Mus musculus: one gene and its partners. The protein of the gene in region 3 interacts with the protein of the main gene of each other region in a pairwise test. Links are inferred from orthologs where the notes say so. Each region holds a gene or a part of one and is shown on either strand. Other genes may lie near its edges.

What was found.
Region 1: the proteins of Sgta (region 3) and Spp1 interact in binary tests that used the Homo sapiens proteins (3 or more experiments, as listed by UniProt). The link is inferred for Mus musculus from reciprocal best matches to the Homo sapiens genes SGTA and SPP1.
Region 2: the proteins of Sgta (region 3) and Cd99l2 interact in binary tests that used the Homo sapiens proteins (3 or more experiments, as listed by UniProt). The two-hybrid records come from large-scale screens. The link is inferred for Mus musculus from reciprocal best matches to the Homo sapiens genes SGTA and CD99L2.

What each region holds. Positions count from the first base shown.
Region 1 is NC_000071.6:104,438,111-104,441,553, reverse strand, and holds the end of Spp1 (osteopontin isoform 4 precursor), read right to left. Parts: intron 3,329-3,443; coding exon 3,287-3,328; intron 2,290-3,286; coding exon 2,008-2,289; intron 1,326-2,007; coding exon 936-1,325; 3' UTR 501-935; downstream 1-500. UniProt on the Homo sapiens protein: Major non-collagenous bone protein that binds tightly to hydroxyapatite. Appears to form an integral part of the mineralized matrix. Probably important to cell-matrix interaction.
Region 2 is NC_000086.7:71,437,350-71,440,849, reverse strand, and holds part of Cd99l2 (CD99 antigen-like protein 2 isoform 1 precursor), read left to right. Parts: intron 1-238; coding exon 239-325; intron 326-2,650; coding exon 2,651-2,716; intron 2,717-3,500. UniProt on the Homo sapiens protein: Plays a role in a late step of leukocyte extravasation helping cells to overcome the endothelial basement membrane. Acts at the same site as, but independently of, PECAM1.
Region 3 is NC_000076.6:81,054,602-81,063,509, reverse strand, and holds the start of Sgta (small glutamine-rich tetratricopeptide repeat-containing protein alpha), read left to right. Parts: upstream 1-3,238; 5' UTR 3,239-3,382; exon of another isoform or gene 3,383-3,592; intron 3,593-8,908. UniProt on the Homo sapiens protein: Co-chaperone that binds misfolded and hydrophobic patches-containing client proteins in the cytosol. Mediates their targeting to the endoplasmic reticulum but also regulates their sorting to the proteasome when targeting fails.

The DNA.
Region 1 (3,443 bases), on a different chromosome or scaffold from region 3:
TGGCACTACAATATTTCTGAAAGTTCATATTTGGATGAAACTGAGAACGTTGGTTTTCAATTGAAACACACACACCACACACACACACACACACACACACACACACACACACACACACACAGAAGCACGCACACATTCTTACCTAAGAATTACTAGAATAGCTAGAAGACAGACACAAGGTTCTATTAGGGCAAGAAAGCCACACATTTACTGAGCAAAGATGATAGAAAACATAAACAATCAACTTCTAATTCCATTCAAGTTTCAAGCTTTTGCTCGCTCATATATTAATTAGTATATGTCATACTTAGGTGAGAATATTTCCTGAGGGAGCCTTGTAGGTTCTGGCTGCTGTCAACTCCCGGGTAATCTGTGTTCCTCTGACCATTAAAACCCTAAATGGCTTTAATTAAACTGGGCATGTCCATTGAAATGGTTATATTTTAGACATTACAAAATAATTTTGAGAAACTAATAAAGAATAATTGACACCACCAGACTCCTTACATTCGTTACAAGATTTATTCACACCAACAAAAAAAATAATCACAACAAAATATATGCTAATTATAAAACTAAAAGGGTATAGTGATATAGACTGTTACAGTTTCTCTTTTAATTCTGCTTGTTTCAGTAAATTTGCTTGTTTCTACATACATTTTATTCATAAAAGAATAACAATCATTAAAATGCAGTGGCCGTTTGCATTTCTTGTACAGGAAGAACAGAAGCAAAGTGCAGAAGCTTTTGGTTACAACGGTGTTTGCATGAAACAACAGACTAAGCTAAGAGCCCAAAATATTACCTCTCTTTCTCTACATACATATATCCACTGAACTGAGAAATGAGCAGTTAGTATTCCTGCTTAACCCTCACTAACACTTTTTCTTGTTTTTACTAAATGCAAAGTAAGGAACTGTGTTTTTGCCTCTTCTTTAGTTGACCTCAGAAGATGAACTCTCTAATTCATGAGAAATTCGGAATTTCAGATACCTATCATCTTCCTTACTCTTAGGGTCTAGGACTAGCTTGTCCTTGTGGCTGTGAAACTTGTGGCTCTGATGTTCCAGGCTGGCTTTGGAACTTGCTTGACTATCGATCACATCCGACTGATCGGCACTCTCCTGGCTCTCTTTGGAATGCTCAAGTCTGTGTGTTTCCAGACTTGGTTCATCCAGCTGACTTGACTCATGGCTGCCCTTTCCGTTGTTGTCCTGATCAGAGGGCATGCTCAGAAGCTGGGCAACAGGGATGACATCGAGGGACTCCTTAGACTCACCGCTCTTCATGTGAGAGGTGAGGTCCTCATCTGTGGCATCAGGATACTGAATCAAGAACAAATTGAAGAATTATATAAACAGACAGGAACAAGAGCATCATAATGCTTTGATCTCTAACTTTTAGGTCAAACTGTACTGAATATTTTTAAAATTTTGACTGAAGAAAAATAATATTAGTGTGTACTTTATATTTCACCAGTCAGCTTCATATCAATCATTTCTGGTTTAATAGGGATATCATCTTTGTGTGTGTTAAAACCTATAAGGTTCTATCTCTGATGAAAAGGCATTGAGCGTTAAAGTTAAACTGAACAGTAACGCCAAGGCTAAGTCTAAGCCGGACTAAGTTCATTGTAACAGTGACTTTACAATTCCTCTTACCCACTTAGCTTCCATTATATATGACTGTTTTCTATATATGGCCATTATTTTTAACATATAATTGCTATTTTCCAAAGTAGCTATTTAATAACATAAATTGCTCTTAAATATTGCTAAGACTTTGAATATGGAAAGATGACATTGTGTGCGATAGGTAAAATTAAAAAGACATCACACACACTTTTAAACAGGACCATTAAAAAAAAAAAGCTCTGTATTCAAAGGTCATACAGTAGATTTCATATAAATGTACAGTGCTTGATGAAGAGTGAGTGAATCTGCAGACTCTGGTTTCCTAGAAGTGAGATCAAGCCATAGCCCTTCAACATGTCTGTTCATCATTTACCTGTTCATCAGAAACCTGGAAACTCCTAGACTTTGACCTCAGTCCATAAGCCAAGCTATCACCTCGGCCGTTGGGGACATCGACTGTAGGGACGATTGGAGTGAAAGTGTCTGCTTGTGTACTAGCAGTGACGGTCTCATCAGACTCATCCGAATGGTGAGATTCGTCAGATTCATCCGAGTCCACAGAATCCTCGCTCTCTGCATGGTCTCCATCGTCATCATCATCGTCATCATCGTCGTCCATGTGGTCATGGCTTTCATTGGAATTGCTTGGAAGAGTCTAAATCACAAAGCAAGTTGGCTCAGTAAATTAGCGCTTGGGTTTTAGACTACAATAGCTTCGTTGAAACATTTTAATTGAATTTCAAAGTCTTTGTGTTTACATTACATTCTATGGTTTTAAGCTAATGAAATGGGCCTCTTGTTTGCTTTTTAACACACAAACAAATGAAATAACATTCTGAGGCACTTTTTTTGTCTTTTAAATAAAATATCACTTTCTTAGATATTTTCAAGTCAAACTTAAAAGTAAAACATTCATATTGATAACACATATTTCCTTGTAAATAGTATACATTATTAATTTACTAAATTCAAAAAATTGCTAGATTGAGTTTCTTTAATCTGAAACATAGTTCCCTAAGACATCAGATCATCTGTATATTAATATAAAGATCAAAATCTATAATTGCCTCCCTGTTGTCAAAGGTAGTTAAGAAATGGCTCTGTTATACATGGGTGTACAAACTGTAGCCAAAATCCATACAGTGAACTAGAGATTAAAATCTATTAATCTACAAATCTACAAAAGTTATGGTTCTTTTGATCTAGTTTTTCTTATCATAAATTGTCTCTATGTTAAATTTAATCTTGAGGGAAATTTTTATTTATTTAGTCAGCAAATAGGGAAAGAACACTTATTAAATAATCTTTAATATTATCAACATGAACACTTTAAAGTATCTTGGCTTGGCTAAGCATTGATGATATAGTCATCAAATATTAGTTAAAATACTGTAAACTTCTTTTCGTATTTTCATATTTTACAAGAGGCTTAAAGTTTCAAATAGCAGGCACGAGTAGGCACTTTCTGTAACACTAAACTTCTCTGAAGAGCCTGTGTATTTTGGTGATGAATGAACACAGAGCCCCTCTAAGCAAGTTTTTGAATGGAGATTTACTTGGATACTTTCTAAGGGACTGACAATCTGAAGAAAATGATGTGGTGGCTTCCTCGGTGTCTCTAAAAATAGGTCTCAGTGAATGTGAGAACTTACTTCTTGCTTAAAGTCATCCTTTTCTTCAGAGGACACAGCATTCTGAAAAAAGGAAGGTCACATATCAGTACACAACATACATGATCAGTTGCTTAATTCTAAAGTTACCCTTTTCATCCTAATGCAGGTGTCATGTTTCAGCCTGCCAGATGATACA
Region 2 (3,500 bases), on a different chromosome or scaffold from region 3:
ACTGTTTTGCTCAGCTTGATTCCTTATAGAACCCAAGACCACCAGCCTAGGGATGGCACCACCTACAATAGGCTGGGTCCTTCCCCAATGGTTGATAATTGAGAAAATGCCTGACAGCCTGAGCTTATGGAAGCATTTTCTCAAACAGGGTCCCGTCCTTTTAGATGACATTAGCTTGAGTTGACATAAAAACTAGCCAGCACAATGGTGATTGTTTCTTTTGCTCTGTGGTCCCCAGAACTAGATGGGTTTGACTTGGAAGATGCCTTGGATGATCGAAATGATCTAGATGGTCCCAAAAAGCCAAGTGCAGGAGAAGCAGGAGGTAAGTTCTAGATGCTTGGATGCTTGATATCACAGGCCAGTGCTACAGTTCCTGGTAGGGTCTGTCCTATTACCTGTAATAGAATTCTGAGCCATCTAGAGTACTGTAGATCCAGGCCACTTCAAGCTGTAGGAGAGCCCTACAATAGTAATACTGATATATTTTGATCTTGGGATTCTCCAAATTATTGGGAATTTCAATAACTTTTGTCTATGTGGATCATATCCATCCGAGTTTAACATCTGTATATATTTTTTTAAAAATTCAGTATTATTAGTGTAAAATGATTAATACTAAATAATAATATTAATATAAATAGCACATTGTATGAGAAATTTTTGTGGCAAGATAAAAACAGTTTAGTGAGAGAGTGGCATTATTTTACATTTCTTAGAAATTTCTAGAATGTCAATCTTCCTAGGAGATACCTGGATTTTCATATTGAGATATGTAGCTTGAAAGCTGTCCTCTGACCTACACATGTGTATTGTGGCATATGCATTCCTGCACACACACACACACACACACACACACACACACACTTAAATGCCATTACATTTAAAAGGGTTTTAAAACAAACAGGTGTCATGGGGGGTGGGCTACATCACGTGGAGACAAGGGGGTGGGGAGGAGGATGGGATATGGAAGAGTTGGAGGGTGGAGACGGGGAGGATAAAATATGGAGTGTAAAAAATTAATTAATTAAAACATATTAAAAAACAAAAAAACCCAAACATGAATGAAAAATACATTTTAACAAATGTTTAGTAACCTTACCTTACTCAGTTCCCCTTTAATTCCTTTTCTGGTTGCCCTGAGCACATGACTGGCAAGCAACGGGAAGAGGAAGGATCCATCCAGCCTATCGTTTCCGAAGTGATGGGGCCCCAATCTGACTCAGCTGTTCACATTGTAGCCACACCAGGAAGCAACGACACAGAGACAGCAAGTGGGCTAGCGGAGCTCAAATGTCAGCTTCCAGTGACATATTTCCAAAAAACAGGGCTCAAGTGTCCCAATGCATGAGGGTCATTTCAGATTTGAACTACAGTACCCATTCAATGGACTTGTGCCTATTTGTTGTTTTGTAACATTGCACGTTAGTTGTTTGGAAAACCGTGTTTGCTTAAGGTTTATCAAACGTCAGTGTAATGCCACACACTATAATAAAAAAAAAAAAAAACAAAATCTAATTCGCTGCTAACACCATCAATACTACTGGCAAAAGTATTTAGTCGGATACTATTAGAGTCATGGTAGCTTATAAAGGCTTCAGTAGAAATCTTGTTGACAAGTGCTATAGGTGGCTGTCCTCAACTGATGGACTCATTTCATTCAGTTGTAAGAAATGCTTCCCAAATAATCAAGTCGGTACAGCATTCATTCTGCCTGACAAAAGTGGTTTCATGACACAAAGCTGATAAAGCCAACTAAGAAAAGGTCCAGTGACCCAAGGGACTTTGCAAATCACCCTCAGTACTTTGGAATACAGTGGAAAGGCTTTAAGCACATTTTGCACACAAAGCATTAGGATGTTCAGAAAGATGTGTACTTAATAGTTGAACTATTTAATGGTGATTCTGCTTCTTGTATTGATTATCTATGATTCACAAATCATGTGAAAGTTGAGGAGATTTATTTTTATATAAATGTGTTAAGATTTCCTTCGTTCACTTAAGAAGCTGAGTTTTCTATAGGGTCAGAGTCTCCGCTGCAATCAAGGTACTCGGATGGAGTCTCATCTGAGCTTAGATTCTCTTCAAAACAAGGTCATGTGGTTGTTGATAGAGTATCTTTCTCTTCAGCTATAGAGGCAGTGAGTGGCTCTTTTAAGAGAAGCGAGAGAAAGAAAAGAGACTTTAACGTCTAGTGTCTGAGCTTAGGCATGCCCTAAACTAGCTTCGAAAGAGTTCACTTGGCTGATTGAGGTCCTTAATTACTTTGACAAAAATCACTTTGAGCTTAATCACTAGGATCATATTCATTCTCTCTGGGACCACACACACACTCAAGGTGATTGGAGGTTCGGCAGAACACATACGCTGGCAGTGAGCAATCTGAGGGGCTAGTTGGAATTTTTGCCTACTACCATCATCCTTTTTCATCTTCCTGCTCCTCCTCCTCCCCTTCCTCTTCCTTCTTCCCGAATCCCTCCTTAGTTTGGGCACAAGGCCTGGTTCTCAGGGCCTTCTATCTGCTGTACCACTGAACCAGAATCCCGGTACCATGAAGAATACCCACATGTCATGGACAACATTTACTAATCCAAGTATTTGCTGCAAAGATTTTTTTTTGCCAGTGAAATGTATGGGGTTTCTTTCATAGGTTGGTCAGACAAGGATCTTGAAGACATCGTGGAAGGTGGGGGATACAAACCTGACAAGAATAAAGGTAGGAGTATTGCTTTGTCTGATAACAGACCAAATTCTCCTTAAAATGTTGACCATTTGGCCTTCAGGTAAAACATGCCATTCTTAGCCTCTGGAAAATCAGGCTTAGTCATTTGCACTTGTAAGGTGGAGAGGGCTCTCATTCCTGTGGGTGGGAGCCCATTTGTAAGCCATCCTGGAGAAGCTGTCCATTTGCCCTGTTGTTCTTTAAACCAAGGTACTTCATGAGCTAGTATCCCCACAACCTGGGTGCACCTTATAAGGCAGCAGCAAGGACAGTGGCCTGTAGTAGGACAGTCACATGGAGCATCATAGTATCAAGGAGACAGCCCTTGATACAAATGCTTGGAGAGCCATTTTTCTATGCAGTGTGAGGGTTGCCATGTTAAGCAAACATGGCAAACATTTTAAAGAAGCCCCTAGCAAATCAGATTTTTACAAAATATCTTTGCATTCTATTTCCCCTTCCCAGGAAAATTCATGCTTCCCTCCTGGTAGACTAGAGGCAGTGGAAACTGTCCTTGGGAGGTGTTGTATGAAAGAAGAATCTATTTTCAATTTAAAAAGACAAAACAAACAAACAAACAAACAAATCCCACATCCTTCCCCACTAGGCCCTAGCCCTGAGCACTGCTTATCAGCCAATAGAGTTCATTCTTACTGTAAAGATCACAGAATTTGCAACAGAATTTCAATGTAGCCTTCCCTGAAGTTTGACTGTGTCTAAATGTGTAAGAAAACTAAACCATGGGATCAGACTCTCTCGAAGTTCTGATCTAGTCTGA
Region 3 (8,908 bases):
TCTTCAGGCACACCAGAAGAGGGCATCAGGTCTCATTACAGATGGTTGTGAGCTACCATGTGGTTGCTGAGATTTGAACTCAGGACCTCAGGAAGAGCAGTTAGTGCTCTTAATCACTGAGCCATCTCTCCAGCCCAAATTATTCTTTATATAAATGTTAGTAACGAATTAACCCAGTGGCTGTATTTCTTTACTTTATACATTCCTCAATAATCACATAGAAAAAACCATTTATTTAAAACTCCACTTCAGTATCTGAGCAGTTCAATCATCTGCCTTAGTTGTCTCTGCTAACTCGGCTGCCTCCCAGGCCAGCCCACAGTACTGGCATGTTGCTATTGCTCTGGCTCTTAGGGCTTCAGGTGTGCCTCCATGATCTCGCTCCTGACCCCTTCCTTCACCGCTCTAAATCTCCCATCCTCCTCACTGATCTGAATCTCCTTCTCTCCTCTCCTTCCTCTGGCTGGCCGATGTCCCACCCTATTTTCTCTTCTGCCCAGCCATTGGGTGATCAGCATTTATTGACAAGGCAGAGAATAGATGGGAAGAACTGTTTACACAAACTTGAGACAGGATATTCTTGGTATAAGCATTACAATGCCCTGTCCCAAGATTGAAACAAGATAAGAGAGCAGAGATCAGCATTTGAGTAACACAAGAGTAAAGTTTATATAATGCACAAGAACACTAGTGGCCAGTTCCTGAAGCAGAGTTTGCCAAGGTGATTTGAGATAGGCCATCATGGGGCAAGGGGGAGAGGGAGTCAAAACCGAAGCAGGCCACACGGATACACAGTCAAAAGCAGAGAGACAAACGCAGTGTCTTTCCCAGCCTGTTTTCCTTCAGCATCTCTTTTCCTGGGGATGGTGCCACCCACAATGGGCGGGGCCTTCTCATGTCACTTATGTTTGGTTTTTTGTTTTTTGTTTTTTGTTTTCCCCTGAGACAGGGTTTCGATGTATAGCCCTGGCTGTCCTGGAACTCACTTTGTAGACCAGGCTGGCCTTGAACTCAGAAGTCCTTGTGCCTCTGCCTCCCAAACGCTGGGATTAAAGGTGTGCCACCAAGCCTGGTGTCACTTATGTTTAATCAAGGTCACCCCCACAAGCAGACCAACTTCATCTAGGCACTTCATGGAGACTCTTGCTAAGCGATTCTCGGTTGTGTCAATTCGATAGTTAAAACTAATCTGATGAGATAAAGATCAGAAATCACAGGTTGTAAGAGGGTTTCATTATGTCAGTACCCTTTCCCTGTAAAGGGAATTTTTGGCAAGATTTCTAGAAAACAGTATGTTTTCACCCTGGAAAGAAGAAAAGTCTTAAAGAGTTGGTAATTGCCCTGGAATTCTCTGATAGAGAATGGCATCAGTTCCTGTGAAGGTGGCAACATCTTCTCTCCTCTCACGTCCCTCACAGCTTTTCTATCCTGACTTATTGCACACCTCACATCCCTAACCAACCCAGGACACTAAGTTTGGTAATTATAACTACGCCATGTCAAAGGTGGGGTGTGTGCAGAGGATTGGCAGGATCACAGCATATCATATCAGCACTTGGACACTGATGCAGGGGGATGGACAGAGTTCTTGCTTTTCTTTTCTGCTTCCAAGACAGGGTTTCTCTGTGTGGCCCTGGCTGTCCTGGAACTCACAGAGATCCTCCTGCCTCTGCCTACTGAGCGCTGGGATTACAGGCCTGTGCCACCATGGCCCACCTGGAATTCCATAAATTTAAGGTCAACCTGAGCTACATAGTAAGACATGGTAAAATGAAAATAGGAGAGATAGTTCAATGGTTAAGAGTACATATTGCAAACTGGGTAGTGCAGTTTTAGCCCAACCTTGCCTACGGTATGAGACCCTGTCTCAAAGAAAATAAAAAAAGTAGAGTACATACAGCTTTTGCAGAGGGCCTGAATTGCACTGCACCCAACTCTAGCCTTGGGGATTCCATGCCCTCTTCTGATTTTTATAGGCACTGTATTCCCATGCAGACACCCACACATAGACATCCACATAATTCAAAAGTAAAGATAAGTTGGTTTTATTTATTTTTATTTATTAATTTTTTTTTTGGTTTTTCGAGACAGGGTTTCTCTGTATAGCCCTGGCTGTCCTGGAACTCACTTTGTAGAGCAGGCTGGCCTGGAACTCAGAAATCTGCCTGCCTCTGGCTCCCGAGTGCTGGGATTAAAGGCGTGCGCTACCACGCCCGACCTGTTTTTATTTTTATTTTTATTTTTTTATTTATTTTTGGTTTTTTGAGACAGGGTTTCTCTGTGTAGCCCTGGCTGTCCTGGAACTCGCTCTGTAGACCAGGCTGGCCTCGAACTCATCCCGAGTGCTGGGATTAAAGGCGTGGGCCACCACGCCCGGCTCCTGTTTTTATTTTTTGAGACAGGTTTTTCTGTGTAGCTTTGGCTATCCTTTGTAGACAAGGCTTGCCTCAAACTCACCGCGATTCCCCCGCCTCTCCAGTGCTGAGATTAAAGGCGAGCACCACCACTGTCTGGCTGCTAATCTTTGTTTTTCTTTTAGGCATCAGAAAGAAGTTGGGGTGTGCAAAAGATAAGTTTGTAAATAGGTTTTAAATATAAAAATAAGTGAAGTAGATTGTTTAGTGGTTAATCACACTTACTGCTTTCACAGAAAGTGGGATATGCCAGTTTCCAAGATGGGCGAAGTGGATGAAGAGTTCCGGGCCAGGCTGGGCTCGTAGTATTGTCATTTTAAAAAAAGGAAAAAGAAAAAAAAAATTACGAAAACAGGGGGCTGGTGAGATGGCTCAGCAGGTAAGAGCACTGACTGCTCTTCCAAAGGTCCTGAGTTCAAATCCCAGCAACCACATGGTGGCTCACAACCATCCACAATGAGATCCGATGCCCTCTTCTGGTGTGTCTGAAGACAGCTACAGTGTACCTACATATAAAAATAAATAAATCTTTAAAAAAAAAAATTACGAAAACAGAACCAAAAACTTCATAGCATCAGTTAGTGGCTTTGATTCAGATTTGTCTTGCTGAAAGCAGCTAGATCACGTGACAGACTCCATACCACGTGGTCTGCCTTGGTGCCTCAGGGGTCCGCCGCCGCCCCACCGTGCTTTAGGCCTGACCCGCTTGGTGACTGTCAGACTAACTTCCGGTTTTCCTGATGCCTCCAGAGGGCAGTTTCCATAACAACCAGCTTGTGACCCCCCTCTTCGCGTGACGTCACTTCTGTTTTAGAGCGAAGGGTGCACTTGAGCGCATGCGCAAAAGGAAACCTACACAGGAAATGGTTTTTTTCTGCGCAGGCGTCTTGGTCCTGAGGGCGGAGCTTGGCTGCGCCGCGGTGCGCAGGCGCAGCCGTCGGTGGGTCGGGTCTTCGGTCGACTGAGAGGTGAGGCTGGGGGCTCCGCCGTGCCCCGTATGGGCGTCGGGGGTCTGTGGGTTTAGCTTCGCTGTGCTCGGGAGCCCCTGGGACAAAGGTGGCTTGTGATCCGGACTTCTGCTCTCTTCGGGGTCACGTGAGCGGGCGGCGCAGAGAGGAAACTGAGGCAGACAGCGTCCCAACCCACCCCCACCCCTCGTCGCTTTTTCTCACGAAAAGGTCAGCGTTTAGGTGTGTGTGGGGCGGATCTCAGTTTTCTCGGGGCCCCTAAGGTCTAAGACCCTCTTACATTGCCATTCCTCACCCTGGTGACCTTGCTTAGCCTGTTGCCTGCCCACAGCCTCAGTTTTCCTCTTCTGTACAATGGACGTTGTCACCATTGTCTGAGCAGTTGTGGGTGCTCCTTCCCATTGGGAGGGTGTGTTTGATTTTGGTGCCAAAGGTAGGTAGTGTGTGGGTTTGAAGGGCAGAGGGCCAGCTGTGCATGCTAGGGCAAATAGCTTGACCTCTCTGAGGAGGAGTTTTCTTAAAACAATGGTAAGGCAGGTGTGCTGACACATGGGCAGAGGCAGGAGTATCGTGGGACTTCCATGCTAGCAAGGACTACATACTTTGTCTCAGAAAACGAAACAACCAAAAGCAAAGACTCGAGCAAATAGTCTAGAACTTTGGTCCACAACCTATAATCCAGTCTTTCAATTGAGAGGGGGAGACAGCTGGATCGCGGGGAGTGAGTTCAGGCCCAGCCTTGGATACCTAACACGGTGGAGGTAGCTGGACCACAACGTGAGACCCTGTCTGAAAATGAAATCGACATAATTAATAGTTTGTTTGTTTTGAGACAAAGTCTTTATCTGTCTCTGGCTGTCCTGGAACTCACTATGTGAGCCAGGCTGGCCTCAGCGCCACCTCTGCCAGGACTGTAGGTGCCACCACCTCATCTGGCATCATAATTAACGTAAAAAGGATGTCAGTCTGGGCCCGTTTAGTTGTAAGCTGGGCTTGCTGGCTGTCATCCCAGCTTGTAGGAGGCTGAATCGGGAGGATGGAAGTGAAGTTCAAGGCTATGTTGGGCTACATGGTGAAATCCTCTTGTCTCAAAAGCCAGGTTGTAGTGGTGTCCGACTTTGATCCCAGCACTCAGGAGGCAGAGGCAGGAGGAGCTCTCAGAGTTCGAGGCCAGCCTCTGGTCTACAGAATGAGTTCCAGGACAGCCAGGTTGCAGAGTGAGACCCTGTCCTGAAAAACCAAAACCAAAAATGAAATGTTAGCAACAACAAAAACAAAGAAAGTCAGTTGAAATTGTTATGTCTCTGTGTCTGTCACCTGGACATTAATTGTCCTAAGGTCCATTAGCAGAGGTCTGTTAGCCTCTGTGGTGGCTGGTGAAGGCACACGTTCCCCACCAGTTGATTGAGATGACTTTCCTGTTTTGTCCCTCTGTGGTCATTTATTTGATCAGTCTTTCCTTTTATTGGTCATTCTCATCCACAGGGACAGTGTATGGGGATGTTTGTGATCGGTGTGACTGAAGGGGCTTCTGATGTGACACTGACACTGGGTGGGGGTCAGGAACATTGCCCACAGAACAGTGCTTCTGTTGGGGAAACAACTCAGTGAGCAACATGCTTGGCATGAGGGTCTGAGTTCAATTCCCTGTGGATTCCCCATGGAAAAAGCTGGGTGAGAGTGCTGGGGGCACTTGTAATTTCAGTGTGTGTGTGGGGGAGCACAAGATAGGCAGATACCGGGCTCTCTGCATAGCCTGCCTAGTCCCAACATCAGCTCCGTGTCCCAGGGACAGACACTGCCTCTAAAACATGACATGCTGCCTGGAGGGAGTATACTCACTCTTGATCTACCTTTAGTTTCCACATGTGTATGGACACACACACACACACTACACACACGCACACTACACACACATACACATACTACATCACACATTCACTCACATATACACACACAGACACCTCACACATACACACACCACATACTCACATAGACACACATTCACATAGACACACACCACACACTCACATAGACACACACAAATACATGCGCGCGCGCGCGCACGCACGCACACAAACACACACACACACATTGATGCTACTGGTAGCCGATAATGAAGCATGCCTTTAATTCTAGCACTCCAGAGGCAGACATGGGCGGATTGCCTTAAGTTTGAGGCTAGCCAGCTGTGCATACTGGGCTCTGGTGTTAAAATGGAATCCGAGCCCAGTGGCTCCTCACCGCTGAGGCCTCTGTATAGGTTGTATGGGTCCCGAGGTTGTGTGTGCATCCCATTTCTCGGGGTAAGGGATTGCCTACTGGATTAAGTACCTGGAGCCGCTGTCTGAGGTCCCAGCTGGTACTTCATGGCAGGGTGTTGGCACCACAATGAACCATACTCCAAGCCTTCTTGGTGTTTCGTTTTGAGACGGGGCCTCCTGCATCCCAGGGCTTCCTGTGTGCCGAGTGACACTCCACCCATTGGGACTTGGCCCAGGCAGCTACACTGGAGTCCTCAGCACAGAGTTGGACTCTGTGGCCGAGCCCGGCACTTGCCACACTGACCTCCAGAGAAGTTGAGAGGTTGGAGGGAACAGGCAGAGCCAGTCTGCAGCCCAGGCCACCTTTATACTGGTGGCAGTCCTCCTGCTTCGGCCTCCCACGTGCTGGGTGGCAGCTGATGCTCGGGTCTGGCTGGGCTTGGAGGGTGCTGTCTAGAGCGTGCCCTGAAGTGATCCTGCACTCCTGAGTGTGTATCTAGGAAGTTCTGGTCGTACCGAGGATTTAGGCCAAGGGTTTATCATAGTGCTTCCTGGCAGAGAGTGTGACTCCCATCTGTCACCTCCAGCCCACGTCACATACCTGCCACCCTGTGAGCAAGAGTCTCTGTGGGAATCAGCCCTATATCTTTCTGTTTGACGCAGGGGCTCATGTACTCCAGGCTGCCCTCCAACTCTGTAGCTGAGGTTAGTTAGCCCTGGACTCCTAGTCCTCCCGAGTGCTGGGATGACAAGTGTGTAGGCATGCTCTGCTTCTATATGTTTATTTTTGTTTTGTTTTAAGATTTATTCTTGATTTTGTATGTGCGTGAGAGCGAGTGCATGCATGTGCACATAGAGCCTATGGAGGCCAGAAGAGGGTGTGGGTCCTCTGGAACTGGAGTTCAGGTGGCTATGAGTAGCTCATCTAGGTGCTGAGAACTGAACCCCGGCCCTCTGGCAAAGCAGCAGTGCTCCTAAGCAGTGAGCTGTCCCTACCACCTGCTCTGTTTTCTGAGACAAACTCAGTCTGCAGCCCAGGCTGGCTTTTAACTTCCAGCAGCATCCTTGAGTGCCTAAGCCTCAGCCCCTGCTCTGTTAGGTTTTTATAAGGAGGGGGGCTGTGTTTCCCAAGAGGCTTCTCATGGCTTAGAGGCCCACCTTCTCAGCTTGGCTCTGCCACCACTGTGCTGTGGATGGCAGCTGGGGCTCAGGCTCAGGAGGTGACTGTCCAGAATGCTCTGGGTTTCACAGACTGAGATGAGGCCTGAGGCTCTCTGAGGTTTGGGAGCAGGGTAGGGCTGGGGGTGGAGCCCTCAGGTTTTCAGTCTGCTGTGTGGGGAGGAGGCCAGCCTAAAACTTTGGGGTTTTGGAGTTCCCGCTCCCTCTGTCCCCATGCAGGTGCACGTGAGGGTCTGCCAAGGTCTTTGAGGGCTGTGTGCTGTGACATCTGCTTGCCTTGCAAGTGGATATGGACTGCGGTTTGGGGAGTTGCTGTGTATGGAAGGAGGCTGGGTGGGCCTAGACAGGCAAGGCGGGGCCTATAGGGTCTCTGGGGTGAAGCCCTTCATTTTGTGGTCTCACTTGTCTTTTTATCAACTTTGTCCTGGACAGGGGCCTAGGGAAGGACACTCGTGAGTTGTGACAGGCCTAGGGAAGGACACTCGTGAGCTGTGACAGGCCTAGGGAAGGACACCCGTGAGTTGTGACAGGCCTAGGGAAGGACACTCGTGAGCTGTGACAGGCCTAGGGAAGGACACTCGTGAGCTGTGACAGGCCTAGGGAAGGACACTCGTGAGCTGTGACAGGCCTAGGGAAGGACACTCGTGAGTTGTGACAGGCCTAGGGAAGGACACTCGTGAGCTGTGCTGGGTTGGGTTTGGACTTGCATAAGCTGGGATGGAACTTGATTTGTTGAACGGGCTAATCTCAGACTTTTTCAGCCTTTTCCCTTCAGGCAGGGCACCTCTGTCTCTGAAACTAGGTTGGTGGCCAGCAAAACCCAGCCATCCTCCTGTCTCCACTCATGCACCTGGCACGCAGGTTACTGATCTGTTCATACAGCCACAGCTAGCGTATAGGGTGGGTGCTGGGGGCCTGAGTCAGGGCCTTCCACCTGCCTAGCAGGGTCAGTTACCCACTTGGCCACCTCACCTGTCCCAGGGTTTGGGGTTTGATTGAGACAAGGACAGTAAATCTGAGGCTGGGTGGCCACACTATGTCAGAAAGAGTGGAAGGGGGAAAGAGGTGTGCAGACAGCTGTGAGGAGCTAAGTTTCCTCCTATATAGGGGAACTCTGGGACCCGGTCCTGTTGCCCCCTCACCCCTGTGCCCCACAGACCAAACCATGCCTGGCTGGTGGGCAGCTATACTCATAAAGCCCACACTGTTCTGAGATAATAGGCCTTTGAGACTTTTGTCCCTTAGCCAGAACCTTCCCAAACCCTGCGGGCCCGGGATGTGAGAACTGGGGCCTCATGACCACAGAGAGAGGTCAATGGATGTCGGTTGCTGGACACCCCCAGGGGAGGCGATTCATGCCCCAAGTGTCAGTGGTTCACAGCTGGGTGGGGTCTTGTCAGGGCCACTGTTCCCTTTTGAGTGGTGACAGTGCCTGTCAGTAGCTGGCCCACAGACCCGTGCTGTCACAGAGGACCTGCACATCAGGTCTGGTACTGCAGCAGAAAGTTCCACCCTTTTCCCGAGGACCTCCACGCCCTCCGTGGAGGATAGATGTTCTCTGATGGGGCATGCATCCCTCATCTTAGCCCACTCCAGACCAGGAGCTCCCTGCTCAGACATCACCCAGGGTTCCCTGACTCCACCTAGCCCTGGGTTAGAGTGTATCACTGTGCCTAGCTTCATACATCGGTGCTAGGGATTTGAACTCAGGTCCTCATGTTTGCAGAGCAAGCACTGTGCTCTCTAAGCCATCTTCCAGCCCTAGTTATTTCCGTTTGTGTGCATGTGTAGGTGCTGTGTTGCTGTCTGTGTGATGGTCAGAGGACAGCTCAGGAGTCAGCTCTCTCCTCCATGTGGGACCCAGGGATGGAACTATGTTGCCAGGCTTGGGGCAAGCTCGCTTACCCACTAAGCCACCTTTCTGGCCCACCGGTCCTATTTTTATTTATTCATTTGTTTGTTTAGTCAAGGTTTCACCATAGCCCAGACCAGCCTAGAGCTTGTCCCCCTGCCTCAGCTCCAGAGTGCTAGGATGATGGGTCCGGCATGCCTGGCAGGCTCATGACCAGTGGATGCTTGTGTG